Linked DNA regions of Macaca mulatta. The main gene of each other region encodes a partner of the protein of the gene in region 2 in a complex. Links are inferred from orthologs where the notes say so. Each region holds a gene or a part of one and is shown on either strand. Other genes may lie near its edges. The genes, in order: NUP160, NUP205, NUP188, NUP214, NUP93 and RANBP2.

Region 1 (5,934 bases), on a different chromosome or scaffold from region 2:
TAAAAAGTGGAGGCATGAATAATCCATCCCTGTTTAGTATATCTTCAAGAAATAACCATAAAAATGGGCAACCAGCAGCCCTTGGGGCTACTGTGTCTATGGAGTAGCCATTCTTTTATTTATTTACTTTTTTTTTGAGATGGAGTTTCGTTCTTGTTGCCCAGGCTGGAGTGCAATGGAGCAATCTCAGCTCACTGCACCCTCCACCTCCTTGGTTCAAGCTATTCTCCTGCCTCAGCCTCCCAATTAGCTGGGATTACAGGCATGTGCCACCACGCCCAGCTAATTTTGTATTTTTAGTAGAGACAGGGTTTCACCATGTTGGTCAGGCTGGTCTCAAACTCCTGACCTCTCAAACTCCTGACCTCAGGTGATCCACCTGCCTCGGCCTCCTAAAGTACTGGGATTACAGGCGTGAGCCACCACACCTGGCCTCCTTTACTTTCTTTTTTTTTTTTTTTTTTTTTTGAGACGGAGTCTCGCTCTGTCGCCCAGACTGGAGTGCAGTGGCCGGATCTCAGCTCACTGCAAGCTCCGCCTCCCGGGTTTACGCTATTCTCCTGCCTCAGCCTCCCGAGTAGCTGGCACTACAGGCGCCAGCCACCTCGCCCGGCTAGTTTTTTGTATTTTTTAGTAGAGACGGGGTTTCACCGTGTTAGCCAGGATGGTCTCGATCTCCTGACCTCGTGATCCACCCGTCTCGGCCTCCCAAAGTGCTGGGATTACAGGCTTGAGCCACCGCGCCCGGCCCTCCTTTACTTTCTTAATAAACTTGCTTTCACTTTGCACTGCGGACTTGCCCTGTATTCTTTCTTGTGTGAGATCTGAGAACCCTCCCTTGGGGCCTGGATCGGCACCCTTTTCCTGTAACAAAACTACATGTACTTGGGTTTTTTGTTTTTTTAGTTATTGTTGTTGTTGCCTATTTTCCTCCATGAGAGTAGGAACTTTGTTTTGTTCCCTGCTATATCCCTATTCCCTAAAAATGGACTGAAATATATTAGGCAAGCAAATTTCCTTTATTTCTTCCTGTTTTTATAAAAGAGATGGGGTCTTACCCTGTTTCCCAAGCTGGAGTGCAGTGGCATGATCAGATCCTCCCGCCTCAGCCTCCTGAGTGGTTAAGATGAAAGGCACATGCCACCCCGCCTGGCTAATTTTTAAAAATCAGGCCGGACATGGTGGCTCCGCCTGTAATCCCAGCAAGTTGGGAGGCCGAGAATGGGGCACTGCTTGAGTCCGGCAGTCCAAGACCAGCCTGGGCAACCAGGCAAAACCCCATCTCTACAAAAACAAATAGAAAAATCAGCTGGGCATGGTGGCGCATACCTGTAATTGCAGCTACTTGGGAGGCTGAGGTGGGAGGGTCACTTGAACCCAGGAGGCGGAGACTGCAGTGAGCCATGATTGCACCACTGCACTCCAGCCTGGACAATGGAGCCACCAGACTGTCTCTCAAAAAGAAAAGAAAAAAAAACAGAAAGAAAAAAGAAAAAAAATTGTAGAAATGGGGTCTTGAACTCCTGGCCTCAAGAGATCCTCCCACCTCAGCCCCCCAAAGTGCTGGGATTACAGGTGTGAGCCACTGTGCCCAGCCAAAATATTTAACTAAATGAAATTTGTATCTCTAACATAAAGTCTCTCTTTTGAGCCTTAGACCTGTAAATTTCAATGCCTACTTGACATTTCCAAAGGGCTGCTCCCCAGGTACTTCAAATTTACTATGTCCAACAGAATTATTCATATCTTTCCAAAATCCATCTTCTATGGATCTCTGTAAATGGCAACCCCTCCCCACTCACATCTGGTTAGTCACATGAGACACCAGGGAGCTGTCCTTGTTCTCTCCTTTTCTTTTACCATCCCTTACCCCATATTCAATCCACCACCAAGTCCTAGTGAATCTATCTTCCAAAGGTATCTTGAATCCATCTACTTTTCTATTTCTATTCATTCCCACAATTGAACCACCAGCAACCCTTACTTGGGCCATCATAAAAGCAAACTTTTTTTTGCATTATACCCATCTAATCCAAATCCACTTTCCACAAAGTAGACTGAGATCTTCTAAAAATACATTTTAAAAAATTTAGATTCAGGGGTACATGTGCAGCTTTGTTACATGAGTATATTGTGTATATATTCCTATCTACATGAGGTTTGGGCTTCTAATGATCCTGCCGCCCAAGTTGTGAACACAGTAACTGATAGGTTTTCCAACCTCTGCTCCCCCGCTCCTTTTGGAATCCCCAGTGTTAACTGTTCCCATCCAAAAATGCAATTTTGATGTTAGTAACTCTTTAAAAACCTATTCCATTATTACTCAATGTACTTAGGATAAAATCCAAAAATCCTTAAAAATGGCCTAAGGGTCCCTCATGGTCCGAGTCCTGCCTACCTCTCCAGCCTCAGTATCTCACATTACTTTCTGTTTTACCCACTGCACTTAAGCCACACAGATCTTTGGTCAGTTCCAAACCTGCCACATTCTTTCCACTTTGTGACCTTTGCATATGGTGATCCTGCTTGCTGGACTCCTCTCTGTCCACTCCCCATACCTGGCTAACCTCGTGTCCTTTAGATCTCAGGGTAACTGTGAAAGCCTTTTCCTGCCCCACTAATAACATTTGGTCCTCTCATTAGCCTCTCGTAACCCCTGTATTTTTCCTCTAGGGCAAGTTTTCCTCCACAAAATTTCCCCATGAAAAGTGAGTCCACAACTATTCTGACATTGCTACAACGTCTTGCATGATGAAGATGGCAGTTTTGTTCATTTCGTCCTGGTACCTAGCACAATGCCTGACATATTGAAGCTCGAACATATTTGTTCAATGAAGGAAGCTGTAAAGCACTATAAAAACATAATGGGTTCATGTTTAAAACTAGTCTTATGGGCTTTATACCCCTAAGCTACATTCCCTCTGCTTTTGGTGTTGCTTGGTGTGTGTGTGTGTATTGGTGGGGGGGGAGGGTAAACTCTTCTAGAACTGTCTCAGTTTTCCCGACTCTGATACGAACTGAAAAAAAAAAACTTTCTCTTTCCCTAAGTGTCGATTACCGCTTCTAGAATAGCACTTTGGGAACAGCAACTAAAATTTACACACCAAACCCTACCTTCCAGGGGAGTTTGGCGAACCACAGCACTTACCAATGAATGAACCTGTTTCTGGTTACGGAGAACAACTTGCCACTCTCCACATAGTAAAAGCCTCCCGCGCTCTCACTGTATTTTACGGCGCCAGCCACGGCATTTGCGGTCCCTGCAAAATGAACGTGGTCAGCCTGCACACGCGTCTTCTGAGAAATGACAGGGACTAAGGGACCTGATAAAGCAGAGGGTGACAGACTGACAACCCATACAAAGAAAAGAGGAAAACGTCGGACATCAAGGAATCTCTGATCCCGGGGCTGGAGGCATGTGGACTCAGGAGGATGAACCCAGCAGTCAGAGACCCTAGGACCCATGAGAGGAGCCCGAGGGGACAGATCGGATCGCGCCCTCCCTGGCCACTTCCGTACCAATGCTGCAGACTGTGAATTCCCGAAAGTGCCTCGGCCTTTCGCGCTCAGCCCCGCTTAGCTCCACGAAGCTTCGTTCCAGGGATCCCGCCGCCGCCATCTTCCCGCCGTCGCCGCGATGCCCGACGGGACAAAGGCAGGGCCGCGCGGCCGCCGTCACTTCCGGGGGCGGGGCGGGCGGAGCTGCGGACGGGTGAAGCATCCCGGGAGCAGAAAGGGGGCTTCCGTCCTTCGTTGCGGGGCTTCCACCGGGAGAATGAGGATGGGCAGCGGGGAATCCAGAAGAGAAGCGGGCAGGGGAGGCCGACTGTATCTGCTGGAATCTTCGAGTGGCCGGCTGGAACGCCTCCGGAGGGCGGTGCCCTTTTCTCAGCGGCCGCAGGGCAGGGGGCGGGACCGGGTTTGTTTCTGTTTCCAAAACGCGGGGCTCAGTCTCCCAGGAGGGGCGAGGTCCGGGGAGGTCCGGCCTTTGGGCGTCCTCTGCCGGATCCCGGGTGTTTGGTCACCTCTCCCTCGGTTAGGGTGTCCGTCTGTAAATCTTTGCCGATCCTCCCTTCGCTCTTCAGTGGCACTTGGGTTGGCGGGGTGAGGAAGGGGTAGTGAGGGAAGGGCCTTTGGTTTTGGTCTTTTTTCCCCCCAAGAGACTGTATTCGTGTATTCCTGTATAATGAAACGTAATGTGGTAAACCTTGATGCTGCCACCTGCTGAGGTTACCTGAGTGCTACTCACTTGGATACGTGAAAAGAATTTGCCATTCATTCCAACCGTGATCTTGCACTTGGCTGTCAATGCAATAAGGGCCCATAGTGGATGTTTAGAAGATATTGTGGGGGTAGATGTTCAAAATCGGGGAAAATGCTAATCTCCAGCAGGGAAGGTTTTGTTCCTTAGTGATAGCCAACGCTTGTTGGTCACTTCTATTACCAGTGACCACAGCCATTCCCTGTCATTCTCTGTTTCATTTATCTGGTTCCGACCATCATTTCCTATCTTTCCACTTCACTCCCTCTGGGACACCAACTTTGGCAGTGCAGCCCCCTCATTCTACCTGAAATCCATTGTTATACAAGCTCTTCACTGTCCCTCACTTCTTTGGTGTTTCTTCCTTATCCTGAATACCATTAAATTACTTCATTGCCTAACTCTTCATCAGTAAAAACAACTTCGATTACATTCAAATCTGTAGCTGAACGTGCCTGAAGAAAACTATACACCAAGGTCGGGTGTGGTGGCTCACGCCTGTAATCCCAGCACTTTGGGAGTCCAAGACTTGAGGATCACTTGAGGTCAGGAGTTCAAGACCAGCCTGGCCAACATGGTGAAACCCGGCCTCTACGAAAAACAGAAAAATTAGCCGGGCGCAGTGGCTCACGCCTGTAATCCTAGCACTCTGGGAGGCAGAGGTGGGCGGATCACGAGGTAAGGAGTTCCAGACCCGCCTGGCCAACATGGTGAAACAGTGAGATACAAAAAATTAGCTGGGCATGGTAATGCACGCCTGTAATCCCAGCTACTCGGGAGGCTGAGGCAGGAGAATCACTTGAACCCGGGAGGCAGAGGTTGCAGTGAGCCGAGATCGCGCCACTGCACTCCAGCCTGGGTGACAGAGCAAGACTCCGTCTCCAAAAAAAAAAAAAAAAGAAAAATTAGCGGGGGCATGATGATGCGTGCATGTAATCCCAGCTGCTTGGGAAGCTGAGGCAGGAGAATCGCTTGAACCTGGGAGGTGGAGGTTGCAGTGAGCCGAGATCGCGCGGTTACACTCCAGCCTGGGCAACAACAGCTAAACTCCATCTCAAAAAAAAAGAAAGAAAACAGAAAACTATACACCCATACTGACATGCTTCCCTCTAACTCCATCAGGACCATGTACCTTGAGTGGACCTATCTTGCTGCCTGGCAAACACATGGTATTTGCTTTCTCCATTTACTGTTCTAAATGAGTGTTTCGTAACTCCCGAAACCTCCACTGCCTCCGTCATCATCCTGACTCTCCACTTGCTGCTTCATTTAGAAAATTAAAGCAATCAGAGGCTGAGATGGAAGGATGGCTTGAGGCCAGGAGTTCAAAACAAGCCTGGGCAACACACCCCCATCTCCAATAATTTTTTTTTTTTTTTTAATTAGCCAGGCATAGTGGTGTCCCTCTGTAGTCCCAGCTATAGGAAGATTTCTTGAACCCAGGAGTTGGAGGATACAGTGAGCTACAATCCTGCCACTGCGCTCCAGCATGGCCAGAAAGAGACCCATCTGAAAAGAAGGAAGGAGGAAGGGAGGACTTCCTCTACAATGACATCTCCCCACCTACCACCATCTGTAGCCACATATTTTGCCTTCCCTTCCTGTTACTATAAATTAAACTGTCTCTGAGCTTATGCTGAGACAACCTTTCTACTTCCGTAGAACAGCTGCTC
Region 2 (5,455 bases):
GACAACTTAACAAATAGCAGAATAACTCTGAATGACTTGATCGAACATCAAATGTCTATAAAGTATATAAAGCATTATATACTGATCTGTTGAACACTTAATAACATTTTCATGTCTTAAGATTAGTCTCAATTAAAAATGCTAACTATATTTAGAAAGCAGCCATTTAGCAATATTTTAAATATGCCTAACTTTTGACCAAGAAATTCCACTTCTTGCAATTTATCCAAAGAAAACCTCACTAGTACAAAAAGATACGTGTATACTATTGATGAGTTTATACTGGAGAAGGTCATTCGTTTGCATCTATTAAAATAAAAGTACATACTTTTTCACATGGAAATTCTACCATTAAGCAGCATCCTTTCTGAGAAATATAGGCATATAAAAAAAATTGATGTAGCATTTTTGTAATAAAAATTTAGAAACAATTGAAATGCCTATGAATAAGGAAAATGGCTAAATAAGTGTTTCATCCATATCATGGAATAACAAAGACTTTTTGTGGCTTTTTTTTTTTTTTTGAGATGGAGTTTCACTCTTGTTGCCCAGGCTGGAGTGCAGTGGCATGATCTGGGCAACCTCCGCCTCCTGGGTTCAAGCAATTCTCCTGCTTCAGCCTCCCGAGTAGCTGGGATTACAGATGCCAGCCACTGTGGCCGCTAATTTTTTGATTTTTAGTAGAGATGGGGCTTCATGATGTTGGCCAAGCTGGTCTCGAACTCCTGACCTCAGGTGATCCACTGGCCTCGGTCTCCCAAAGTGCTAGGATTACAGGCGTGAGCCACCACGCCAGGAAGAGATATTTTAAAAGAATCAACTAGATATGTACTCTGATGTAGCACAAAGGAAAGAAAGACGTTGGGCCATTCTATGTAGAGCATACTGCTCAGTGGGACTTGAGGCAAGTGAGGGAGTTACAGAAGTATATAAACCTAAAGTATTATTTGAAGGTTTTTTTAAAAGCAGTATTCAAGTATTACTTCATAATTCTTAAAAACTAAACATTCTCCCTCAACTTTTGAGTAAATGCTTTAAAAAATGACACCAACACTCATTTATTACAGTTGTGATTAGTCAAAAGATGGAGAAGTGATTTTTTTTTTTTCAGTTTAAAAAGTAACCATCTCCCAATCCAGAAAAGATTAGGAATTGATCTCATTCTACCTGCTTCTAAGGTGTCTGGCTCATCAGGTCTCTGGGCAATCTGTAAGTAATAAAGCAGAGAGCCATACAAGTGAGTCCTCACTCGCTGGAATCCACCACCTAGGGAGATTAGGAAGATGTCAAATGAAAATCTTTTCTCAATTAAAGTTAAAACAAATACAATGGATAGAATTTATAGAAATTTTAGATGAAAAAAACCTGTCTTCAAAATGAAGTCTAACAGTTTCTTCAATATGATGTAAAGTGAAGAATCTCCAATAGAAGCAAAACCCACTAATGGGTTCTCTTCTGGAGGAGGTGAGGTGAAGGAACTATCAAGCATAAAAGCGTAATGGGCATCTGCTGGTCCCAAGACTGATGTTTGCTTCTGTTCGGTGAGGACGGCCTGGCTCAGGTGAGCAGTCAGTGTGAACACTGCCCCAGCGACTACAGGCATTAACTCCTGCGCTGCTTCATCATCCAGTATCTTAAAGGACAAGGGCAAATCAGAGTGAGAATCCTGCTTTCAGCTATAATCATTAACAAGTTTCACAGCTTTTTTTTTTTTTTTTTTAAGATAGGGTCCCGCTCTGTCACCCAGGCTGGAGTGCAGTAGCATAATCTCAGCTCACTTCGGCCTTGACCTCCTGGGCTCAGGTGGTCTTCCCACCTCAGGAGATTGGTCTCAAACTCCTGGGCTCAAGCGATCCTCCCACCTTGGCCTCTCAAAGTTCTGGGATTACAGGCATGAATCACTGCATACAGCCCATTAACAAGTTTTATATATATTTAGTTTGTCAACTGTGACAACAATATAAGAATGGAATACAGAAATTAGTCAAAAAAAAAAAAAAAAAAGAAAGAAAAGAAAGAAAAAAATCTAATATATACAGAGAAATTTAAATATGATGCTAGGTAATGGGTGTTCTTAACCAGAAGGGATTCCTATCAGAATTCCCTAAGGAGGTTTTCTTTTTGAAATTCACATAAAAGGTCTCACCATTACATTCAGTAGGTCTGGGGTGGGCTTGTCCATGTGAACTTTTACAAAGCTCCCTAGATAATTCGGACACACACTCTGGTTGACAGTCACTACTGTATAGAATTAATCCCTTTCTCAAGGAAAGTCTTAATGTTGGTATTGTGCAATTCTATTTTATTCCTAATCAAAAATGGAAAACAATTGGGGTGCCAAAATTTATTCGTTTAAATGATACATATTTGTTCAGCAGTATAAAGTAATTTAGGAAGTATGTCACCTTATCATGCACGTCTTGTAAAATATCACGAATAATCAGTTGTCGATCCTCTGCCTGAATGAGGTCCTGGGGACAAGCTGTCAGTATAATTTCTACCAGTTGCCTCCACGACTCCAGAGCGTGACGTTTTGCATGAAGACACTGCAGCAATTTATTTCTTCCTACCACATACTGAAGTACAGTGCTGATTTCCTAAAGCCACAGGAATGGAATCACAAGGTTAAACAGGCAAATAAGATCAGTTATCTGTCAGTTACTCAGAAAATATCTATTTGGAAACCTACTACATGCATGCCACAAAGCAGATATCTTTTCATATTATTTCAGTAGCCAGGGCTATAAAAAATACTAATATATAAGGTGTGTATGTGTGTGTGTGTGTATGTGCATGAAAGGTAGGGGACAGAGGTGGCATAGATAAATTTGTATTTTTTGACACTATCTTCTTTCTCCTTGTACCTATCTACTTATACTTGCTTACTCTAGAGCACTAGAATTATTTAAACTCCAAGTTCAATGGCATGTTTCCCTGACATCTCTTTTATTTCTTTGCCTCTTGCTTTGGCCTGGCCAGCTATGTCTCCATGCATGTGGTTCTTCCCATCTGACCTCTTACCTGTAACTTTCCACTTGTGATGACAAATGACCCTCCTCTCTCACTGACGGGGACCAAGTGAGGTATAATACGAAATATGGTCAGGCTGCAAATCCTTAACTAGTCTAGCAGAAAAGGTGTTATTTATTTCGGCATACCAGATAGTTCAGCTTATAAAAGTTATAAAATCAAAAGTGAAAGACTCCCTAAATGTTTAATTTTTAGGTAGCTTACTAATTAGCAAACTACACGTTAATATACTATTTTAGTCTTTTCACCAGCAACCTAAGTAGTTAAAAGGTTGAAACGAACACATACTCAATAGAGCTTACCTCCATGAGTAGAGGTCTCTGTCCTATGGCTGCCATACCCTGAAGGGCATTTACTTCAGCTACAAGAACCCTATGAAGAAGCTGGATAATTAAGAAAAGAAAGAAAAATAAGACATTTCAGACACTGGTAGAACAATAACACCTAGCAATTATCATAAACTGCCCTAAAGGGAAAGGCGTCAGATACCTTTATATATAATCTAACAAGAGCAACGTCCACTTTCCAGACCAAAATATTAAGTATCCCTTTTCAAGAAGTTAGTGTGATACATTAAGATTTATTTCAGGGATATTTTACAAAAACCACAGTCCTTCCTATAAACTAGTAAACCAATGTCTCTATCAGAAAGAAAACCTGTATGGTTCTATTTGTTTCTGATGACTTAAGGTCTGAGCCACTTGACACTGCAGATATGTACTTTAAAGCAACCCTCACCTTGACATTGCAGACTGTCTGTCCCCGTAAATTCTTGTGTTCACAGTTAGCAATAACTTGTTCAATCTGGGTCCGATCAAAAAAATCCAACTGCAAAGGCTCAGGGATCTCCTGACTGAAGTCAATCGAGTCAAGAATATTTAGAATTTTTCGACGTACTAGAAATAACAAAAAGTAATTTGATTTTACTTGGGACATCGAAAGGAAGGGCAAACCATCATATTCAGTTGATTTTCAAAGATAGTGCTATTTTCAGAAACAGCATAAAATAGTCAAGAAACTGAAAACTGTATTGGAATCTAAATTTGATTTTATTTCTGATACATCCATTAACAAAAATATTTTCTTTCCTGTTGTATAATCCTTTTATAAAAAAATTTTCAGGTGGCAAATAATCCTTTATATAGCTTTTCTATACCAGTTCAGAGTTTGCAGGCACAGGCATAATAATCCCTTGAAGTTTTAAGCAATTTAATGTATGTCTATAAAATAAATTGATTACAAATTCAAAGGGGATTACCTTTCGTAGCAGCGTCAAAGTGAAGGAACCCAGAAACAGACCTGTTTTCATCTTCCATTCCTCCTTCACCATCTGTTGGAACATCAATAATATTGAATCAGAAAAAGAAGAACATACTCTTAAAACTACATTTATTTGGAAATAACTAACATAAGGTATTTTATTTGTAGGTCATTGTTTCTGCATCAAACAGCCCTGTGCAAATGGATAATTAAAATGCAAAGACTGACGAGGACTTACTACCAACATTCATCTAATTCTTTCTGTCCCTATGGAATCCACTTCACTATTGTAAAGAGAATAATCAGATTCTCAAAAACGGCAAGATCCAATCATGCCAATGAGATGATTTTAAAAGTTTATACTTAATTTGCATGAATACATATTGAAATAGCTTAGGTCATGCTGGCTTAGTATGACAAACTCCACTGACAATTCTGTATGTAATACCGGTATGACTATAGTGTCATGTGGATGCTTAAAATAATAATAAATGTCAATCATAAGATGAGTTAAAATTTTTGTGTTTTAAGAAAAAAAAATTCTAAAAGTGAGAAGATAGTTTTGGTTTATAGTCACATACTAAGCACAAGCTTCACATTTGTGTTTGTCTTCACAACAACTAGTCACCAGCACAATAAAACAAATACCAATAATCACCTGAGTACGGTTTCACTGGCATGTCATCCAGTAAGAGGTGTAGGAGCCTCTGGGTATGTGACCGCTGACGATTCAGAGAGGTTACCCTTAGTTCTATTGAGGCAGTTTTCATAAGCCATGACATCTGGTTCAGCATAGATATTTCATATTCTAGAATTTAAACATGCAAATTTTGTTTCCCAGAGTAATAACACAGTATCAAAACAGACTTAAATTCTGTAATTCAACAGATATTTCCCATGTAACAAAGTCAATAATTTATGAAACTCAGCAACATAAAATTTCTCATCTGTAAAATTACAAGAGAAAAAAAAAGATACCAAGGAAGAAAAAATAAGCTAGTATAAATCTATGAAAGATGAGCTAAAGTAAATGAAGAGTAAAAGAGAATCAAGTTTTCATTACTGATTTTAATTTCACAAAGATCCTGAGTCTATCGTTTTTTGACACTGATATATAAAACAATATTTTAAAGTAATTTTCAAATACATAACTCAAAAACTCTCA
Region 3 (6,156 bases), on a different chromosome or scaffold from region 2:
ATTAGGAAACTAAAACATAAGATTTTAACCTGGCCAGGCATGGTGGCTCATGCCTGTAATCCCAGCAGTTTGGGAGGCTAAGTTGGGTGGATCACCTGAGGTCAGGAGTTTGAGACCAGCGTGGCCAACATGGCCCCATCTCTACTAAACAAAAACCTCATCTCTACTAAAAATACAAAAATTAATCGGGCATGGTAGCAGGTTCCTGTACTCCCAGATACTCGGGAGGCTGATACACAAAAATCGCTTGAACACAGCAGGCAGAGGTTGCAATAAGCCAAGATCACACTACTGCACTCCAGCCTGGGTGACGATGTGTCTATCTCCAACAAACAAAAAAAGACATTCTCTCAATAAATAGTTATTACTTAAAAAAAAAAGTTATTAAAGGTACAGAGATTTTATTTTGTCAGATTCTAAACCATCACTGAGAATAGTAATCTGTAATAATCAAACACTGCTTAGAAAGCCTATCTGCAGAGAGAGAAGGGATGAAAAGATCCTAAACTATGCTAAACATTTTGCAAAAAGAATGCAAGCTATGGCTGGATGTGGTAGCTCACACCTGTAATCCCAGCACTTTGGGAGGCCGAGGTAGGCGGATCACGAGGTCAAGAGATCGAGACCATCCTGGCCAACAAGGTGAAACCCCGTCTCTACTAAAAACACAAAAATTAGCTGGGCATGGTAGTGCGTGCTTGTAGTCCCAGCTACTTGGAAGGCTGAGGCAGGATAATCGCTTGAACCCGGAGGCAAAGGTTGCAGTGAGCCGAGATCGCATCACTGCATTCCAGTCTGGCGACAAGGCGAGACTCCTTCTCAAAAACAAACAAACAAAAAAAAAAGAATGCAAACTATGTTAACTACAAGGTAAAACGAAAAAATAAGCCGGGAACGGTGGCTCACACCTGTAATCCCAGCACTTTGGAAGGCCAAGGTGGAAGGAGTACTTGAGCCCTGGAATTTGAGACCAGCCTGGGCAACATGGCGAATCCCTGTCTCTACAAAAAAAAATAGAAAATTAGCTAGTGTGGGCCGGGCACAATGGCTCACACCTGTAATTCCAGCACTTTGGGAGGCTGAAGCGGGCGGATCACTTGAGGTAAAGAGTTCGAGACCAGCCTGGACAGACCAGATGGTGAAACCCCATCTCTACTAAAAATACAAAAATTAGCCAGGCATGGTGGCAGATGCCTGTAGTCCCAGCTATTGGGAGACTGAGGCACAATAATCACTTGCACCCAGGAGGTGGAGGTTGCAGTGAGCTGAGATCGCGCCACTGCACTCCAGCCTGGGCGACAAAGAATCTGTCTCAAAAAAAAAAAAAAAAATTAGCTAGTGTGGTGGTGTGCACCTATGTTTCCAGCTCCTGGGAGGGCTGATGATGTAGGAGGCGCCACTGAGCCCTGGAGGGCAAGGCTGCAGTGAGTCATAATCAGGAGTGATCAAGGAGGATCACCTGAGCCTAGGAGTTCGAGATTAGCATGGGCAACACAGTGAGATCTTGTCTCTACAAAAAATACAAAAATTAGCCAGGCATGGTGGCATGTGCCTGTAGCCCTAGCTACTTTGGAGGCTGAGGTGGGAGAATCAGTTGGGCCAGGGAGGCAGAGGTTGCAGTGAGCCAAGATCCTGCCACTGCACTCCAGCCTGTGTGACAGAACAAGACCCCTTCTCAAAAAAACAAAAAAAACAAACAAACAAAAACAAAAAAAACCACTGTAACACAAAGCACTAGCTCTGTTTTAAAATTGTCAGTCTGTAAGCCCAGCACTTGGGGAGGCCGAGGCCAGCGGATCACCTGAGGTCATGAGTTGGAGACCAGCCTGGCCAACATGGTGAAACCCTGTCTCTATTAAAAATACAAGAAATTAGTTGCGCGTGGTAGCGGGCGACTGTAATCCCAGCTACTCAGGAGACTGAGGCAGGAGAATCCTTTGAACCCAGGAGGCAGAGGTTGCAGTGAGTGAAAATCGGGCCAGTGCACTTCAGCCTGGGCAACAACAGTGAGACTCTGTCTCAAATAACTAGTCTTTTAGGATTTTCTCATCAAAAGAGGTTTAAACACACCTAAAATTTATACATCTCTTTCCTAATGGTTAATGCTTTAAAAGCAACTTCGATTCTGCTCAATTAATAGCCACCAACTCCCACATGGCACACTGGAATCACTAATCATTTTTCTCATAACAAGACAGTATTCAGGCCAGGCATGGTGGCTCATGCCTGTAATCCAGCAGTTAAAGAGGCTGAAGCTGACAGATCACTTGAGGTCAGGCGTTCCAGACCAGCCTGGCCAAAATGGTGAAACCCTGTCTCCACTTAAAACACAAAAATTAGCCGGGTGTGGTGGTGCGCACCTGTAGTCTTATCTACTGGGGAGGCTGAGGCAGGAGAATCGCTTGAACCCGGGAGGCAGAGGTTGCAGTGAGCCGAGATGGCGCCACTGGACTCCAGCCTGGGCGACACAGTGAGACTCCATCTCAAAAAAAAAAAAAAAAAAAAAAAGTGGGGAAAACACTGCTGGCACAGGGAAGGATAAGAGGCAGGGATGTTTAATTTTAAGGAGGGAGGGTGGTGGGAAGACCGAAGACCTTCGAGCTGCAATGTGGAAAACGGAGGGAGGCGTGGTGGTCTGGTTATAGCACTGGAGGCACGCAGACTTCAGCCTGAATCCTCTCTTTATCACTTGGCTAGCTCTGAGCCGGACTTCTGAGTCATCCGTGAAATACAAGGCGCCTCTCGGAGTTGCGAGAATTGAATGAGGTAACTCATGGGAAGCGCTCCATCAGGGTCTGACGCTAGAAAGCACTTTGTGAGAATTGTAGCTTTCGTATGTAATATTTCATCTTCTTGTCCCTAAAGCCTAGTTCAGTCCCTTAAATCTCTTGGAGGATTTGGACATGCTCGCCGACTGATTCAATGCAAGAAAAGAACGATTCGAGGCGTGGAGAGGGCAGAAACCGCAAGCGCGGCTCCGCTCGACGCGAAACAAAATCCTAACAAGAACAGACCGCGGGAGAGGTTGGGGAGCCAGCAGGGCGCACTCGACGCCGGGGCAGGACACTGGGAGCCTGCAGCAGGGACGTGGGTGGGGGGTACCCGAGGCGACCGCAAAGCTCCCCGTGGCTCGAGGGAGCGTCACGGCCGGACAAGGAAGCGCGGGTGGGGCGCCAAGGGACGCGCCGGAGCTGAGAGGAGAGGAAGGCAAAGTCCCCTGGATGAGGAGATGGGAGGCCAACCGCGGAGCGAAGGGGTGAAGAGCCGGCCCCCCTCCTGAAGAAGACTTCAGATCCCCGCGCGCGGGGACCGTTTGGACGTAACCGCCTCCTGTCTCAGTGCCCGTCCACCCAGCCGGGGTTGGCCCTGCCACCGTCGCCACATCCCGCCTCCAATTCCCGCCCCTCTTCCGCTCGGCTTTGACCCCGCGCCTCACAGCCACCCCGGTCCACTCGACCCGCTCCGCACCTCACACACGGCCCGCCGGCGGCCGCCGCCATCTTCGAGCGCGCGCGCGCCCTAACCCCGCCCCCAGACGCCATGCCCACGTGACCGCTCGCCCCCGGACCGGGAGCGTGGGCGGGGATTTCATCACGTGACGTTGCCGCGGGGCAGTGCCAAGATGGCGAGGCCCAAAGAGGTGAGGAGCCGGCAGCGGGGGCGGCTGTAACTGAGAGGAAGGCTGCAGAGTGGCGACGTCTACGCCGTAGGTTGGAGGCTGTGGGGGGTGGCCGGGCGCCAGCTCCCAGGCCGCAGAGAGTGACCTGCGGTGGAGTTCCCTCCTCGCTGTTGGAGAACGGAGGGAGAAGGTTGCTGGCCGAGTGAAAGTGCCTCCCTCTGCTTGGCGGGGCTGAGGGGCCCGAAGTCTAGGACGTCCGTAGTCACCCCGGCCTCTGTGAAGCCCCAGGTCTAGAGACATGACCCGAGAGTGCCCATCGCCGGTCCCGGGGCCTGGGGCTCCGCTGAGTGGATCGGTGCTGGCAGAGGCGGCAGTAGTGTTTGCAGTGGTGCTGAGCATCCATGCAACTGTATGGGACCGATACTCGTGGTGCGCCGTGGCCCTCGCAGTGCAGGCCTTCTACGTCCAATACAAGTGGGACCGGCTGCTACAGCAGGGAAGCGCCGTCTTCCAGTTCCGAATGTCCGCAAACAGTGGCCTACTGCCCGCCTCCATGGTCATGCCTTTACTTGGACTAGTCATGAAGGAACGGTGCCAGGCTGCTGGGAACCCGTTCTTTGAGCGTTTTGGCATTGTGGTGGCAGCCACTGGCATGGCAGTGGCCCTCTTCTCATCAGTGTTGGCGCTCGGTATCACTCGCCCAGTGCCAACCAACACTTGTGTCATCTTGGGCTTGGCTGGAGGTGTTATCATTTATATCATGAAGCACTCGCTGAGCGTGGGGGAGGTGATCGAAGTCCTGGAAGTCCTGCTGATCTTCGTTTATCTCAACATGATCCTGCTGTACCTGCTGCCCCGCTGCTTCACCCCTGGTGAGGCACTGCTGGTATTGGGTGGCATTAGCTTTGTCCTCAACCAGCTCATCAAGCGCTCTCTGACACTGGTGGAAAGTCAGGGGGACCCAGTGGACTTCTTCCTGCTGGTGGTGGTAGTAGGGATGGTACTCATGGGCATCTTCTTCAGCACTCTCTTTGTCTTCATGGACTCAGGCACCTGGGCCTCCTCCATCTTCTTCCACCTCATGACCTGTGTGCTGAGCCTTGGTGTGGTCCTACCCTGGCTGCACCGGCTCATCCGCAGGAACCCCCTGCTCTGGCTTCTGCAGTTCCTTTTCCAGACAGACACCCGTATCTACCTCCTAGCCTATTGGTCTCTGCTAGCCACCTTGGCCTGCCTGGTGGTGCTGTACCAGAATGCCAAGCGGTCATCTTCCGAGTCCAAGAAGCACCAGGCCCCCACCATCGCCCGAAAGTATTTCCACCTCATTGTGGTAGCCACCTACATCCCAGGTATCATCTTTGACCGGCCACTGCTCTATGTAGCTGCCACTGTATGTCTGGCGGTCTTCATCTTCCTGGAGTATGTGCGCTACTTCCGCATCAAGCCCTTGGGTCACACTCTACGGAGCCTCCTGTCCCTTTTTCTGGATGAACGAGACAGTGGACCACTCATTCTGACACACATCTATCTGCTCCTGGGCATGTCTCTTCCCATCTGGCTGATCCCCAGACCCTGCACACAGAAGGGTAGCCTGGGGGGAGCCAGGGCCCTCGTCCCCTATGCTGGTGTCCTGGCTGTGGGTGTGGGTGATACTGTGGCCTCCATCTTTGGTAGCACCATGGGGGAGATCCGCTGGCCTGGAACCAAAAAGACTTTTGAGGGGACCATGACATCTATATTTGCGCAGATCATTTCTGTAGCTCTGATCTTAATCTTTGACAGTGGAGTGGACCTAAACTACAGTTACGCTTGGATTTTGGGGTCCATCAGCACTGTGTCCCTCCTGGAAGCATACACTACACAGATAGACAATCTCCTTCTGCCTCTCTACCTCCTGATATTGCTGATGGCCTAGCTGTTACAGTGCAGCAGCAGTGACAGAGGAAACAGACATGGGGAGGGCGAACAGTCCCCACAGCAGACAGCTACTTGGGCATGAAGAGCCACGGTGTGAAAAGCAGATTTGATTTTTCAGTTGATTCAGATTTAAAATAAAAATCAAAGCTCTCCTAGTTCTAGTTTTGCTGATACTTATTTTTTATTATTATTATTTTTTTGAGACAGTTTTGCTCTTGTTGCCCAGGTTGGAGTGCAGTGGTGTGATCTCGGCTCACCAATCTCCGCCTCCCAGGTTCAAGCGATTCTCCTGCCTCACCCTCCCTAGTAGCTGGGATTACAGGCATGTGCCACCCCGTGCTAATTTTGTATTTTTAATAGAGACAGGGTTTCTCCATGTTGGTCAGGCTGGTCTCGAACTCCCAACCTCAGGTGGTCCGCCCACCTCAGCCTCCCAAAGTGCTGGGATTACAGGTGTGAGCCACCGTCCCAGCCTTGCTGATACTTAAAATGAAGAGTCTTAAGGGATAATCCAGCAACTCAAAGAACCTGAGTGTGCTGTAGAGCCGCCCCCCCCCCCCACCTCTTTCACCCTGCAGCCTCGGAGGAGGCCAGAGTGGATGCTGGAGGGAGTAAAGCAT
Region 4 (4,575 bases), on a different chromosome or scaffold from region 2:
GGCTATCTCCTTGGCTGTGATCTGAAAAAACGCACATACATTCTGTACAGAAACGGACAGTTTAATAGTGGCAGGGAAAACCCAACGTGAAATATAAAATAAGTAATCACGCGTCTCGTGAGTTTCGGTTTCTGTTGTTTCTTTCTGGGTGTATGTGTTCTGATGGCAGCGTCGGTCTGAGCAGCCTGCTCCAGCATTTCTCGGTGAAGCAGCTGAGGATGCAGTTGGTCCCAGGGACCGAAGGGCCTGCTGACACCCCCTCAGCTTCGCCAGCCACCAAAACCCTGCACAGACCTGCAAGGAAGCACAGGAGAGTGGTGGAGTCAGCTGCTCTGTCACAGAGCAGTCACAGGCTCTGCTGCTCTGCCTGTGGGCAAAGGTCAGGACTCCGATTTTTTATTATTATTTTTTTGATAGAGCCTCACTCTGTTGCCCAGGCTGGAGTGAAATGGCGTGATCTCAGCTCACTGCAACCTCCACCTCTCAGGCTCAAGCACTTCTTCTGCCTCAGCCTCCCAAGTAGCTGGGATTACAGGCATGCACCACCATGCCTGGCTAATTTGTGTGTGTGTATCTATATATATATATATATTTTTTAGTAGAGATAGGGTTTCACCATGTTGGCCAGGCTGGTCTCAAACTCCTGACCTCAAGTGATCTGCCCACCTTGGCCTGCCAAAGTGCTAGGACGACAGGTGTGAGCCACTGTGCCTGTCCAGTTTTGTTTTGTTTTTCCTTTTGAGATAGGGACTGGCTGTCACCCAGGATGGAGTGTAGCAGTACCATCTTGGCTCACTGCAGCCTCGACCTCCCAGGCTCAAGTGATCCTCCCACCTCAGCTTCTGGAGTAGCTGGGACCACAGGCATGAGCCAGCATGCAAAGCTAATTTTTAAAATTTTTAGTAGAGATGGGGTCTCACTATGTTACGCAGGCTGGTCTTGACTCCTGGGCTCAAGCAATCCTCCCACCTCAGCCTCTCAAAGTGCTGGGATTATAGGCATGAACCACCCACCTGGCTAAGACTGAATTTTAACGCCATGAAATTCTACACAGAAGCAAAGAGGATGGATCAGCACAAGACCTGGTGATGGCCCAGAGCCCAGGGGTTAGCACACGGCTTCCGAGAAACCCACAAGGGAAGTCACGAGCAGCATCTCCTCAGCGCTGCCCTCAGGCCCGGCTCACTGGCAGGCTGCTCTCTTTCTCTCTGAACCATGTCTCTTAAGAAGGCGAGGCCTGGCACCTTCTGTCACATTGCTACGGAGAAGAGCAAGTCCACAAAACCTAAACCCTGCTGCTGAACCCCCACACTTCCAGGACAAACTCTAAAAACAGGAAAAAATGAAAAGAAAATGCACAAATCCAGCAAGATCCACACACTTCCAACCTTATTTAATGCTTTTAATTAAGGTCAGACTCAAAAAGGGGGATACTTACGAGTTATTTGATCCAAAGCTGAAGCCTGAAAAGCAGAAGACAGAAGTTAAAGCACGCGTCCACTTGAAAGATGAAGGTGGTCCCCATGCTAAGTGCCTGCCCTCCTGTGCTTCTCAGTCATGGGAAGCCCTCCATGCCTCCCCCACCTACAGGAAGGCAGGAAAGGTACATGCAGAAGCCCCTTTATTCTGAGTTTGTCCTCTGGAGCTGCTCAGATCCCCCAGAAGGCAGAAGAAATCCTTTACTTTTTATGAGTTATCTTCTTGGTATTTTAGGTTCTTCCTCCCTCCCCGGCCCCAGCTGTAGGCAGAGGGTCTCTGGTTTGGCCTCTCTCTCAACTGCGCTGGACCACACAGATTCATTTCATTAGGAAAACTTTTTTTTTTTTTGTGCTGTGGTTGTTTTTCCATCCATTTGCTTCCTCTTCTTTTTGAGGGCCAGAGAAGCAAGATGGCTGGATTCTAAGCCTGGTTCTGCTGCTAACTGACTCTCGGCAAATCACTTAGTTCCTTGGAGTTTCTGTTTCGTCATTGGTACGACTGTAATGATACCTAAATTCTGTGCCTCATCAGTTTATTGCAAGAACAAAACGGAAGACACATATTCTGCCGTCTGAAGAAGCAGAGTGTTAAACAAATGCAACATGTTTTGTGAAGTTTCTACGTGTTTTCTTTTTTTTTTTTTTTTAGTCTGTTGGCTTAGATTTTTAAACCAAGGCCTAGTAAGACCATTATTATGTTGGGCTTCTCAAATCCTGAGAGGAAATAAAGACAGTAATTTCTTTGGTAAGAAATGACACAATGTTCTAAGCCTAACCAAAACCTAAAAAATATATATATTTCTTCATTGGTATGAGATACATACATATATATATATATATTTATTTTTCGGCTGGGCGCGGTGGCTCACGCCTGTAATCCCAGCACTTTGGGAGGCTGAGGCGGGTGGATCATGAGGCCAGGAGATGGAGACCACCCTGGCTAACCCAATGAAACTTCGTCTCTACTAAAAATACAAAACATTAGCCGGGTGTGGCGGTGGGCGCCTGTAGTCCCAGCTACTCAGAAGGCTGAGGCAGGAGAATGGCATGAACCTGGGTGGCGGAGTTTACAGTGAGCCGAGATCGCACCACTGCACTCCAGCCTGGGCAACAGAGCGAGACTCTGTCTCAAAAAAAAAATTTTTTTTTCAACCACTTTCAGTATGTTATGTATTTATTTATTTTGAGACAGGGTCTCATTCTGTCACCCAGGCTGTAGTGCAGTGGTGCAATCACAGCTCACTGCAGTCTCGACCTCTCGGGCTCCAGTGATCCTCCTGCTTCAGCCTCCTGAGTAGCTGGGACCACAGGTGTGTGCCACCATGTCTGGCCAATTTTAAAATTTTTTGTAGAGAATGGGGTCTTGCCATGTTGCCCAGGCTAGTCTCAAACTCCTGGGCTCAAGTGATCCTCCCGCCTTGCCAAAGTGCTGGGATTACAGGCATGAGCCACGTGCCTGGTCAGCTTTTAAAATACTAAACAGACTGGTCAGGTAAAACATACTCATTTGTTTGGGGGAAGAAGGCAAGAGGGACCCATTGTGCTTGCGCAGGGAGAACTTGTAGCAGCTCACCTCCTGTGCCTGATCCAAAACCAGAGAATCCGCTACTCTGGGTCCCAAAACCAGAAGTCTGTTGGGACAGTGATCCGAAAGTGGGGGCGTTCTGACTCGCGAGTGTGCCGAAGGATGTGGTGTTGCTGCTGCTCCCAAACCTGCGCTCCAGTGAGAAACAGACCGAGGTCAGTGGGGCCTCTCACCACTCGGCCATCTGCAAGCCTCAGCCCCCTGCCGTAAATCTCAATATACACGACACACATGATCCAGGGTGACAGGCTGGGCCTAACTAGCAGCCTTTTAGAGAGAACGAGCTATCGTTCAGGGCCAACTTTTATCTCTGCTCTGGGAAGAAAAACGGCAGGACTACAGTATGAAATCCAACCTGGCCAGTGTTTTGGTTTCCATCCCCTATCAGAACACCAGGGCATTTGGGAACTGTGCAGTACACATTTCCTGCTCTACCTCCAACAATCCTGAAGCTTTATTCTATCATTTTAGCATTTCTCACTTACCGACCATTCCCCCACACCCCGCTCCCATTTATTTATCTTCAGCTCCTCTTGGGATCTTGATTCTATTTACGTTTTCCAAGTCGTTTCATTCAGGATTTTGTATTTGTTTCCTGAATCAATAATTACTATCCAAAACAATGTAAAAGTGGCCACCATTTTCTTTCCCCTGCTGGCCCCACCTGGAGACAATCCCCTGTGCACCCTCGCTCAGTTCTCCCTCCAGATATGGTCCAGCACAGAAGGTGGCACTGTGTGGCCTACCAGAGCCCCCTGAATCATTTGCAGAGGAATTCAGCTGGGTTGGCGAGAGCTTCTGGGGTCTGGAGGTGACTAGGTGAGGGAAATAGATCAGTGGTTTCTGGGAGAAGGGGCAGCACCTGGGGCAAGAGTCAACCCCAAAGCAAGAAAAAGTATCTAAAACTCCCCCTTCCCACCATTCTATTCACCGTTAATGGTGAGGTCAAGGCTCTTTCCATACAAAGGTGGCCAAGGGATCTGCCCTCATTGGACTTTCTCCCAGGAGCATCTGCTCCCTTCCTCCTCCTGCCTTGGGCCTCATCAGCAACAGCCTGCCCTTCTCAAAGGCCTGCCCTTCAGGGTAGGAGACAGGCTCATGGCCAGGGACCTGGAAGAAGGTAATGGGCTTTTATGGGGATTTAATAACTGACCTGGTATTAACCCTTTTTAGGACTGACTAACCAGCCAGTCAGGATTTGTGTGAGAGCTGCCCCAAGGCAGAATATGATACTTTTCTACTAGTAAAGAAAACAGCTGGTTTCAAATAAATAAATCAATTCTCAAGATACCCAGTCAACCCACACCTTCCACCAACTCTGTGGTACTATGTGCTAGGTCATCACTGCAGAGAACAGCGTCCATTAAGACCTCTGAGAATACCAGCCTAAGTGGGTCTCTAACTGTCTTTTCCAAGCTTTCCTTAACTTAATTCTTGGGGTTTCCTGAGGGCAAACCTAAGGCATTAGTCTCCCTGTGAAACAGGAGCAGCAGCACGCCAACCCTCATTCTT
Region 5 (4,282 bases), on a different chromosome or scaffold from region 2:
AGGTAATCAGAGTTCGGGCTTGACTTCGGAGTTGCTGAGAGAAAAGGGAAGGAAGCAAAGGAAATTGGTTAACTTTTGAGTCAGGGCACTATTCCATGTTCTTCCATCCTCCACCCTGGGGTGTCAGGGACAGATCCCTGGTGGGTGGATGACAGTCGTACCCTCCTCTGTCGTATTCCTTCAGCATGACACAAAGTTAACAAAGCTCGTCCCCCAAGGCCCCTGTTCCACAGGCATCCAAACCCATTTACTAAGCAAAAAGCAGATGGGTTTGCCAGGCAAGCCGCCTCGCCCCAACACATTTGGCTAGCTTTTGACACAGCCCTGAGCTTCAGAACTGCCTGCTCCAATTTTCAGAGCCTCTCTCTCTGGCTGGTTTCTGTCCATCTGCTTTCACAGGGATCTGAGTCTCCAGAGCCCCATGAAGCCCTTGTAACACCGGAGGCAAGGGCTGTGACTGTGCAGTCCCACGCCGGCTTTCTTCCTCCCATGCATCTTTCCTCTTCCTTCCTTTCGTTCCTCCTGTTTTCTCCCTTCCTGATATACATGCTTAGCCCTTCTTTCCCCAGGCAACAGTATTTATGGAATTCCTGGATTGTTCCAGGAGGGAAAAAGGTGGCCCTACAAATTTAAACCAAATCTGGACTAGAAAGGGAGAATCTACAAACACCTTTCTGGACTAGTAACAAGAATTTAAAGAAAAACTGAAGAGTCATCTACTAGGCTTACTTAAGGACCATTCCAGAAGAAAATTGAAAAGCAAATGCTTTTTACCTGATGTGTAAAACAAACTAGCGAGTGCATGTCCTTACTAATGTCCAAACAAAAAGAAATCTGACTTTGTGATAGGAATACCCATTGTATTTTCTTTAGAAGTGAATGAAAGTGCATGGGCTCTTTGAAATGAGCTCTAGGGATGTTCAAGTAAAAGGATTCACTCCCTTACTGGGCAGTATCTCACTTTAAACCATGAAACCAAGGACATCAGTGGGCTTGCAGACCTCTTGGGCACGCAACTTTTATATATAACCTTTTACTTAATCCTATTCGCCCCTACCTTTCAGAAAAAGAAAGAAAAAGGAGAGTGGTGGGCAAAAGGCAGGCAGGAGAATGATCTTCAGACATGGGACATGGCCTGCCAGAGACCAGCTCCTCTCAGTGGGCAAGCCTGCCTGAACTGTAAGTGGCACACAGAGCACCAAGAAGTATCCACTATCTCAATACTCACATTCACAAACATCACTGCACTGGGTTTCTATTATCAAAAAAGATTCCTGCCAAGTGGTAGGCACCATGAGCCCACCGCTGGCACATCTGGCGTTTAGATTCCTATCTGTCCAGGGTAAGGAGAAGACCAGCAAATGCTCTGGTGCGCACCTGGACGGGCTGACCACTTCAGTGGACCACTCTTGAGCACTGTTACCCACATTCCTAAAGGTGGAAATTTCCACCATCTTTCACTAAGCACAAGTTTTATCAACAACAATGCCTGTGGGGTCACAGTGGAAAGAGCTCACAGACATCCTCAGAGGCAGAAGACAGAACATGGCTTCTTGGCTGCCAAAACCAAGTCTGATGTTAGACACTGAGATCCTGAGAGTCTCATCAAAAATTAAGCGGAAATGTTAAAGGAAAGGTAATTTTAAAAAACATCATTGTGGGGCTGGGCACGGTGGCTCACACCTATAATCCTAGCACTTTGGGAGGCCGAGGTTGGGGGGATCTCTTGAGCTCAGGAGTTCGAGATCAGTCTGGGCAACATGGCAAAACTCCATCTGTATATAAAGTACAAAACTCAGCTGGGTGTGGTGGTGCACACCTGGAGTCCCAGCTACTTGGGAGGGTGAGGTGGGAGGGTGGCTTGAGCCCAAGAGGTGGAGGCTGCAGTGAGCTGAGATCATGTCACTACATTCTAGCCTGGGCGACAGAACCAGGCCCTGCCTCAAAAAAAAAAAAAAAAAAAAAAAAGAAAAGAAAAGAAAAGAAAACACCATTGTACTATCCCCTTATGGTTTAATTGGGTCAAAAAATACCTTTGCTCTTTTTTTTTTGTAATCAGACAACATATGCTGTGAGCCCCAGGGTTCTAGCTACCTGGATTCCACTTGACCCACGCACTGCCAGAGGTCCCACAGGCAGCAGAAAGGGCACAGGTGTCAGAGACCCAGCCTCCAGACATGGCCCCTTCACCTACCTGCCACCTGAGGGCAGTTGCTTCCCAACTCCACAGCTCAGTTTCCTCAGCTGTGAGAGGGGATAAGATGCTGTGCTAGTTACCTCTGTAGGGTCACTGTGAACACCGTGACAGGAGAAACAAGGGTTCACATTAAATTAATGTGTTGATCAAAAATAAAGTATGGTTTTAATAAAAGTGTTCACTAATGAGCTAGGACTAACAAAATAAACTTATCTTTTAAAATGTGCAGGAAGTTCTTAAGGAGTCAACTAGAAATTAGCATTCTGTGTGATCTGTTAAAAGGTAAGATTTGCAGACCTAGCACTTCTTTTTATTTTTTTAAGCTTGAGAAGAGCAGCAATCCCTTTAATGTTTGATTTCCTCTGGGAGCCCCCTAACACGAGATTTATCCAGCTGCCAGGTACTAAGGAGAAAGAGCAGTTTTGGGTCACGTGGTCTCTTAATAAGAGTGCAACGGATTCCAAACCAGAAAGGTGGTGCTCAGCAATGTTTCTCGTGAATGCTGGGATCTTACAGAGTCGCGGTCCTCGATGACTCTCTGGGGCCTGGATGATGAGGATGGACTTGTCCCCTTGAGCCTCTTAAACTGTGTGAACAAGATGTTCATGGTGGCAAGAAGCACTTCTGAGAGGTTGTGCCTGATCTACACAGAGAGAAAAACGGAGTAAAGAACAAGAACCAAGCCTTTCGGGCCAACCACAGATGGAGGGAGGGTGGGCTGCTCCAGGCGGGCCTGGTCGCATCACTCCTCACCATTACCAGGTGGAGAGCCACACAGTCACCCAAAAGGAGCTGATGGCACTGAAACATCAAGTGTGAGAAAAAACCCCAAGCAATGCTCCTCAGGTCAGGTGGTTACTGTTTCTGCTCCTTTATGCTGTTTATGCTGTTTTTCCCTTAGTCAGGGGCAGCAAGCCAAAAAAAGCATGCTGACATCTGGTTAGCATTAGGCTTAGACTGGCCAGCAGAGTGGATGCCAATACATAATTTGAATTTGAATGTCAGGAGGTACAGGTGCACATGCTACTTCTCCACAGTCCCTACCACTCCCCACTCTCTCAAAGTCAGTGGGCTGTTTCCACTGGATCTGCATGGCCCTACCAGAGTCCTTGGGAGTGTCTACAAGGGCAGGCCCTGGTGTACTACTTTAATCTCTGATGCAATGAAGGATGTATTCAAGGAAAGGCTAGAAATAACAAAGGAGCAAGTGGCTAAGGGTAGAAACCACAGCAGGTATAAAGGGAAAGTCAGCAAGGGGTAAGACCTTCTGAACTGTGTGTACCACAGTAGTCAACATCCCTCTTCATGTGCAGAACTGGCCTTACTTCTTTCTCTAAAACAGAAACTTTTTTTTTTTTTTTGAGACAAAGTCTCCCTCAATCGCCCAGGCTGGAGTGAAGTGGCGCAATCTCAGCTCACTGCAACCTCTGCCTCCTGGGTTCAAGCGATTCTCATGCCTCCGCCTCCTGAATAGCTGGGACTACAGGCATGCGCCATCATGCCTGGCTAATTGTTATATTTTTTAGTAGAGACGGGATTTTACCAAGTTGGCCAGGCTGGTCTCCAACTCCTGACCTCAGCTGATCCATCTGCCTCAGCCTCCCAAAATGTTGGGATTATAGGCGTGAGCCATCGCACCTGGCCAGAGACATTTTATAAAAGGCATCTGCTCAATGAGGAATAATTTTAAACTGAAAAACCACTAGTGACATCCCAGAGCCAGGCAGTTGGTTCTAGCATAGTGTTGAGAGCTGAGTTGAGTGTTTGTAGTTCTAGAGATGAATTTACCTGGGCCACACACTGGAATGACTCAGGGAGGTCTGGGCTGCAGCAGTCAGGGAAACCAGAATCTCTGGGGTCTGGGCATGAGAGTTCTTAGAAACTCTCCTAGAGATGCCAGTATGCAGCCCAGCTGAGCACCCTGGGCTAGATGTTGGCAATATGCTAGAAACCCGACAGACAGACAGTGGCTCTGGGGCTTATGGGGTGATAGTCACAGTCACTGAATTTGCTTCTTTAGACAAAACAGATCAGGGAGGGCAAAGGTGGCAGTGCATCATGATGTGTTTCATGTACCCAATGGAA
Region 6 (4,292 bases), on a different chromosome or scaffold from region 2:
AGTTCCCAAATGCCCAAGTTTTATAAAATCTATACTTAAGCAGTTATTATCTGAAAATTACTTAAGCCATACTTTTTGCCATAAAGTACCACTTAAGATGTACAAATAATGAATTACTTTATTCTATCTTTAAGCAGATTTCAATGAGACAATATAAAATCCAGTTTAAAAGGAAAGATACATATCATCGTGGGTTTAGACCACATCAGTGATTAAATAACAAAATCAAAGTCCTTTCCTGAAATGTGACACAAAGACTTTCTCATAAATGCCACAAGCCACTGTTAAGCATCTTTGGAATACTAATACTAGAAAAGTCAGTTTACATGTCATTTTGTCAAATTTTTGGTCAAAGTTTAAAGCTTTTTAATTTGTAACTTCAATGCTTTAGGAAAGCATAGAAATCTGCAAAAAGTCTCTTAAAACGCACTTGCATTGTTAAGAATTTATTCTAAAATCATGACGAAGGCATCAGCTGTCTCAGCTGAAAAGTTACAACACACTTTACATCAGTTTATATTACATAGATTTCCAAATAAGCCAATTTGAAATATTTAGTGTAAACATATGTAATCCATGGTTCTTGAGTAGGTTTATTTCAGGTATCTGGCTTTGTGGCTGAGTGGAATGGTGATGGTATACCATCAATCATTACTCGCACAACATCCCTCCCCTCTTTTGAACAGTTACTTGCTTTAGGATACCCAATTTCCAAATCCCCATATAACAGGGAATAAACCTGTCTTTCCTCACTAAATAAAATGAGGTAATTTCACCAGAAAGAATGTGTTCTTTGGGTGGAAGAGAGTCAGTATTCATAATTGCAATATACAGAATTTTGTGTTCTACCTGGATTCTTTGTAGTTCCATATCGAGTAGGCCAATAAGAACATCCTCTTTTCTTTAGCAATTTGCCTAACATTTGATACAAGCCATTTCCAAATACATTTTCAGTGTATATCAAACTTGAGAAACTAGCTCTGGAAGTTAGGCGGCAGTTTGAATTTACTGCCTCTGAATTGTCTTCCTTTAGAATAACCAGAAGCACAAGTAATGAATTTTTTGAATGTCAGTGGCTCTTATGAATTGTCATTTTATTTCTGCTACAAAATTTACCAGAAAAGGGTACTGCAACAATCCTGTATAAAGCAAATCTTTAACCAAATAACATGGCATAGACTTTCTAAAAATATTCATACTTTATCACAGTAACTACAAGGAAAAATTCAATTTCTATCATCAGAACCAAGCTGCAGTTTCTGAGGTAGTAGAGACAGATGACAGAAAAGTTTAAAACAAAACCCCTAAAGGAAATAGTCAACTTGTTTAAAATGTAAAAATTAATTGAATACCTATGAAAGAGCACAGGAAGCTAGATATTTTAAGGAAGGAAGGTACACTACTTACAAAGTTAACTTGTAACCACACAGGAGGTGTAAAGATTCTAGAGAAGAGCACTTTGGTTAACTCTGTACGTTCTGTGGCTCTACCCATTCATAAATGAGTCTCTATGCATAAATGAGTACACCAATAGTTAAGATTACCAAATATATTTCAAATCTAAAGTAAAATTATCCAAGTTGTGGTCCCTTTATTCAAATGGTAAGTATATCCATGCAGGAAGTCCAAATATCTTAAAAGGAATTAAAATTAAATTGCATATATCATATTCCTTCAATAGTTTGAGAAGGTCTATTGCTTTTAACAAGATTAGTATTATTCCATTTTAATACAAATATGTCAGGAGTACATAAACACAAGTACACCTGAAATACACCAGTGTTTAAACTTTTATTTCACACCATGCAAGGTCAATTATAACATTAAAAAGTGACAACAGCTATAAGCTGCAATTTTACATCTGTACATCAGAAACGTCCATTTTCAAAAGCTGAACATAATTATCAAATTGTAATAACTAAGCTTCAACTCAACTGCTTATACAGATAAAATTTTCTATGAAACACAATGATTTTATATCTGTCCACATTCTGTGATAGTTATTCTTCGACAAACAGACCCTTTGGGAGAACCAAATGATTCAATCTTTTTCACAGTATCCATGCCATCCTTAACAAACCCAAATACTACATGCTTAAAGTCCAAATGTTCTGCTTTTTTCAGTGTTATAAAAAATTGAGAATTATTGGTATTCTGGCCTCGATTGGCCATGGATAGTAAACCAGGACCAGTATGTTTCACATCAAAATTTTCATCTTCAAATTTATCTCCATAAATGGACTGTCCGCCTGTTCCATCATGTTTGGTGATATCTCCTCCCTGAAAAAAAAATGTATAACAAAAGTTTAAAAATTTTTTTCAATTAATAGGAATCCTGAGTAAAATACTAAAATACACACAGAACTCATCGCTACAGGATAAATCCTAAAGCCCAGCTTTCCTGAGTATAATCTGAAACCTAAGAAATTCATATTGTTGGAAAGAAGATGAAAAATGAAAAGGTTTTTCCCATCCCTTAGTCTCTATCTACTAGGTCTCAAGTACTGAAAATTTAACTTTTTTTTTTTTTTTTTTTTTTTAAAGACAGGCTGTCTCGCCGGGCGCGGTGGCTCAAGCCTGTAATCCCAGCACTTTGGGAGGCCGAGACGGGCGGATCACAAGGTCAGGAGATCGAGACCATCCTGGCTAACACGGTGAAACCCCGTCTCTACTAAAAAATACAAAAAACTAGCCGGGCGAGGTGGCGGGTGCCTGTAGTCCCAGCTACTCTGGAGGCTGAGGCAGGAGAATGGCGTGAACCCGGGAGGCGGAGCTTGCAGTGAGCTGAGATCCGGCCACTGCACTCCAGGCTGGGCGACAGAGCGAGACTCCGTCTCAAAAAAAAAAAAAAAAAAAAAAAAAGACAGGCTGTCTCACTCTGTCGCCCAGGATGGAGTGCAGTGACGCAAACCTAGCTCACTGCAGCCTTGGCTTCCTGGATGCTCCCACCTCAGCCACCATGTAGCTGGGACCACAGACGGACACCATCACGCCTTATTTCTGTATTTTTTGTCCAGATGAGATTTTTGCCACATTGCCCAGGCTGGTCTCAAATTCTGGGGCTCAAGCAATCTGCCTGCCTTGGCCTCCTAAAGTGCTGGAATTACAGGTGTGAGTCATTGTGCCCAGCCTAAATTATTTTAGGGTGAAAGTTTTAGGCAGGAGCAGGGAATGGGTAGTGATGCCATGTGATTCCATGTGTGGAAAACCTAAAGAAATCTTAAACAAAACTACAGGATGAGGTCCAGGAAAAACACCCAAATTTCCCGCTGGTGTGGTGCACTCTTTAAGACCTCAATTGCGGTATGTACTTAATAATACCTACTTGGCAAACAAAATCCGGAATTACTCTGTGAAAAATGGAATTCTTGAAACCAAAGCCTTTCTCTCCAGTGCATAGTGCTCTGAAGTTCTCAGCAGTCCGAGGAACAATGTTCGAAAATAACTCCATAGTTATCCGCCCTAGAGGTTCACCGTCCGCACAAACATCAAAAAACACCACAGGATTGGTCTCCTTTGATAATTCTGCTGCATGTCCTTTCTGGAGTTGCAATAAATTCTGCTGACATTCTTCAAATGTTTTCTTGAAACAATCAGCTACTTCTTTAGTTTTAAATCTCACTGCAAGCTGTTCTACTTTTGCTTCTCCATCTATTAAGGAGGGAAAGGGGAAGGAGTGACCTTAGTGTTAAAATAACTGTTATAAGTTGTTTTGTTATAGATTTTAGAAAAGTCCAAAAAATGAAAAGTACATTTGAATGTAAAAACTCACCAGCATAATCTGAGGCAGTCCAAACTAAAGCATTATTTGAAACATTTAAGGGCTTTAATTCCATTGTTTTAGTAATAACGTGGTTTGCACACACTTTAAAAACCTGGTCTCTTCTCATAAGGATCCGGTAATAGTTCTTCATTGTATGCCAAAGAATCTTTATATCTCCAACACCACGTTCCTTCCACTGACTGACATCCCGATCCCATCTATAAAGTTTGGCTCTCTCTTTAAACAAAATTTCTTCATCTTCTTCTCCAGATTTTACTTCTACCTATAATAGGAGATGAAATACTCTATAAGCTGCTGCTTATAATAAATTCCATGACAAATTTCAAAGATCCAAATTCTTTTAAGGCATTTTCTTTGTGATGACAAAGAGAATTTGTTAATATAATAATTGGTTATATATCTTAGGGCTAGGAATACATCTGATGTGGCTGAGGGAGTAAAGACCTGATTTGTCATTAAATATTTTCTTTTATATAGTATTCATTTTCCCTTTGGAAATTAAATGCTT

What was found.
Region 1: NUP205 (region 2) and NUP160 share a complex: the UniProt entries of both Homo sapiens proteins name them as parts of the nuclear pore complex. The link is inferred for Macaca mulatta from reciprocal best matches to the Homo sapiens genes NUP205 and NUP160.
Region 3: NUP205 (region 2) and NUP188 share a complex: the UniProt entries of both Homo sapiens proteins name them as parts of the nuclear pore complex. The link is inferred for Macaca mulatta from reciprocal best matches to the Homo sapiens genes NUP205 and NUP188.
Region 4: NUP205 (region 2) and NUP214 share a complex: the UniProt entries of both Homo sapiens proteins name them as parts of the nuclear pore complex. The link is inferred for Macaca mulatta from reciprocal best matches to the Homo sapiens genes NUP205 and NUP214.
Region 5: NUP205 (region 2) and NUP93 share a complex: the UniProt entries of both Homo sapiens proteins name them as parts of the nuclear pore complex. The link is inferred for Macaca mulatta from reciprocal best matches to the Homo sapiens genes NUP205 and NUP93.
Region 6: NUP205 (region 2) and RANBP2 share a complex: the UniProt entries of both Homo sapiens proteins name them as parts of the nuclear pore complex. The link is inferred for Macaca mulatta from reciprocal best matches to the Homo sapiens genes NUP205 and RANBP2.

Annotation. Positions count from the first base shown.
Region 1 is NC_133419.1:17,735,224-17,741,157, reverse strand, and holds the start of NUP160 (nuclear pore complex protein Nup160), read right to left. Parts: upstream 3,903-5,934; 5' UTR 3,722-3,902; coding exon 3,520-3,721; exon of another isoform or gene 3,261-3,519; coding exon 3,149-3,260; exon of another isoform or gene 1,576-3,148; intron 1,082-1,575; exon of another isoform or gene 882-1,081; intron 1-881. UniProt on the Homo sapiens protein: Functions as a component of the nuclear pore complex (NPC). Involved in poly(A)+ RNA transport.
Region 2 is NC_133408.1:175,446,018-175,451,472, reverse strand, and holds part of NUP205 (nuclear pore complex protein Nup205), read right to left. Parts: intron 5,099-5,455; coding exon 4,949-5,098; intron 4,361-4,948; coding exon 4,289-4,360; intron 3,927-4,288; coding exon 3,769-3,926; intron 3,414-3,768; coding exon 3,333-3,413; intron 2,598-3,332; coding exon 2,406-2,597; intron 1,634-2,405; coding exon 1,366-1,633; intron 1,267-1,365; coding exon 1,168-1,266; intron 1-1,167. UniProt on the Homo sapiens protein: Plays a role in the nuclear pore complex (NPC) assembly and/or maintenance. May anchor NUP62 and other nucleoporins, but not NUP153 and TPR, to the NPC.
Region 3 is NC_133420.1:18,703,623-18,709,778, forward strand, and holds the start of NUP188 (nucleoporin NUP188), read right to left. Parts: upstream 3,511-6,156; 5' UTR 3,501-3,510; coding exon 3,469-3,500; intron 1-3,468. UniProt on the Homo sapiens protein: Component of the nuclear pore complex (NPC), a complex required for the trafficking across the nuclear envelope. Required for proper protein transport into the nucleus.
Region 4 is NC_133420.1:16,314,331-16,318,905, forward strand, and holds part of NUP214 (nuclear pore complex protein Nup214), read right to left. Parts: intron 3,192-4,575; coding exon 3,029-3,191; intron 1,464-3,028; coding exon of another isoform or gene 1,439-1,463; intron 295-1,438; coding exon 1-294. UniProt on the Homo sapiens protein: Part of the nuclear pore complex. Has a critical role in nucleocytoplasmic transport.
Region 5 is NC_133425.1:52,443,266-52,447,547, reverse strand, and holds the end of NUP93 (nuclear pore complex protein Nup93), read right to left. Parts: intron 2,841-4,282; coding exon 2,712-2,840; intron 1,938-2,711; coding exon 1,692-1,937; 3' UTR 1,254-1,691; downstream 1-1,253. UniProt on the Homo sapiens protein: Plays a role in the nuclear pore complex (NPC) assembly and/or maintenance. May anchor nucleoporins, but not NUP153 and TPR, to the NPC. During renal development, regulates podocyte migration and proliferation through SMAD4 signaling.
Region 6 is NC_133418.1:19,360,975-19,365,266, reverse strand, and holds the end of RANBP2 (E3 SUMO-protein ligase RanBP2), read right to left. Parts: intron 4,047-4,292; coding exon 3,773-4,046; intron 3,652-3,772; coding exon 3,326-3,651; intron 2,281-3,325; coding exon 1,975-2,280; 3' UTR 1,773-1,974; downstream 1-1,772. UniProt on the Homo sapiens protein: E3 SUMO-protein ligase which facilitates SUMO1 and SUMO2 conjugation by UBE2I. Involved in transport factor (Ran-GTP, karyopherin)-mediated protein import via the F-G repeat-containing domain which acts as a docking site for substrates.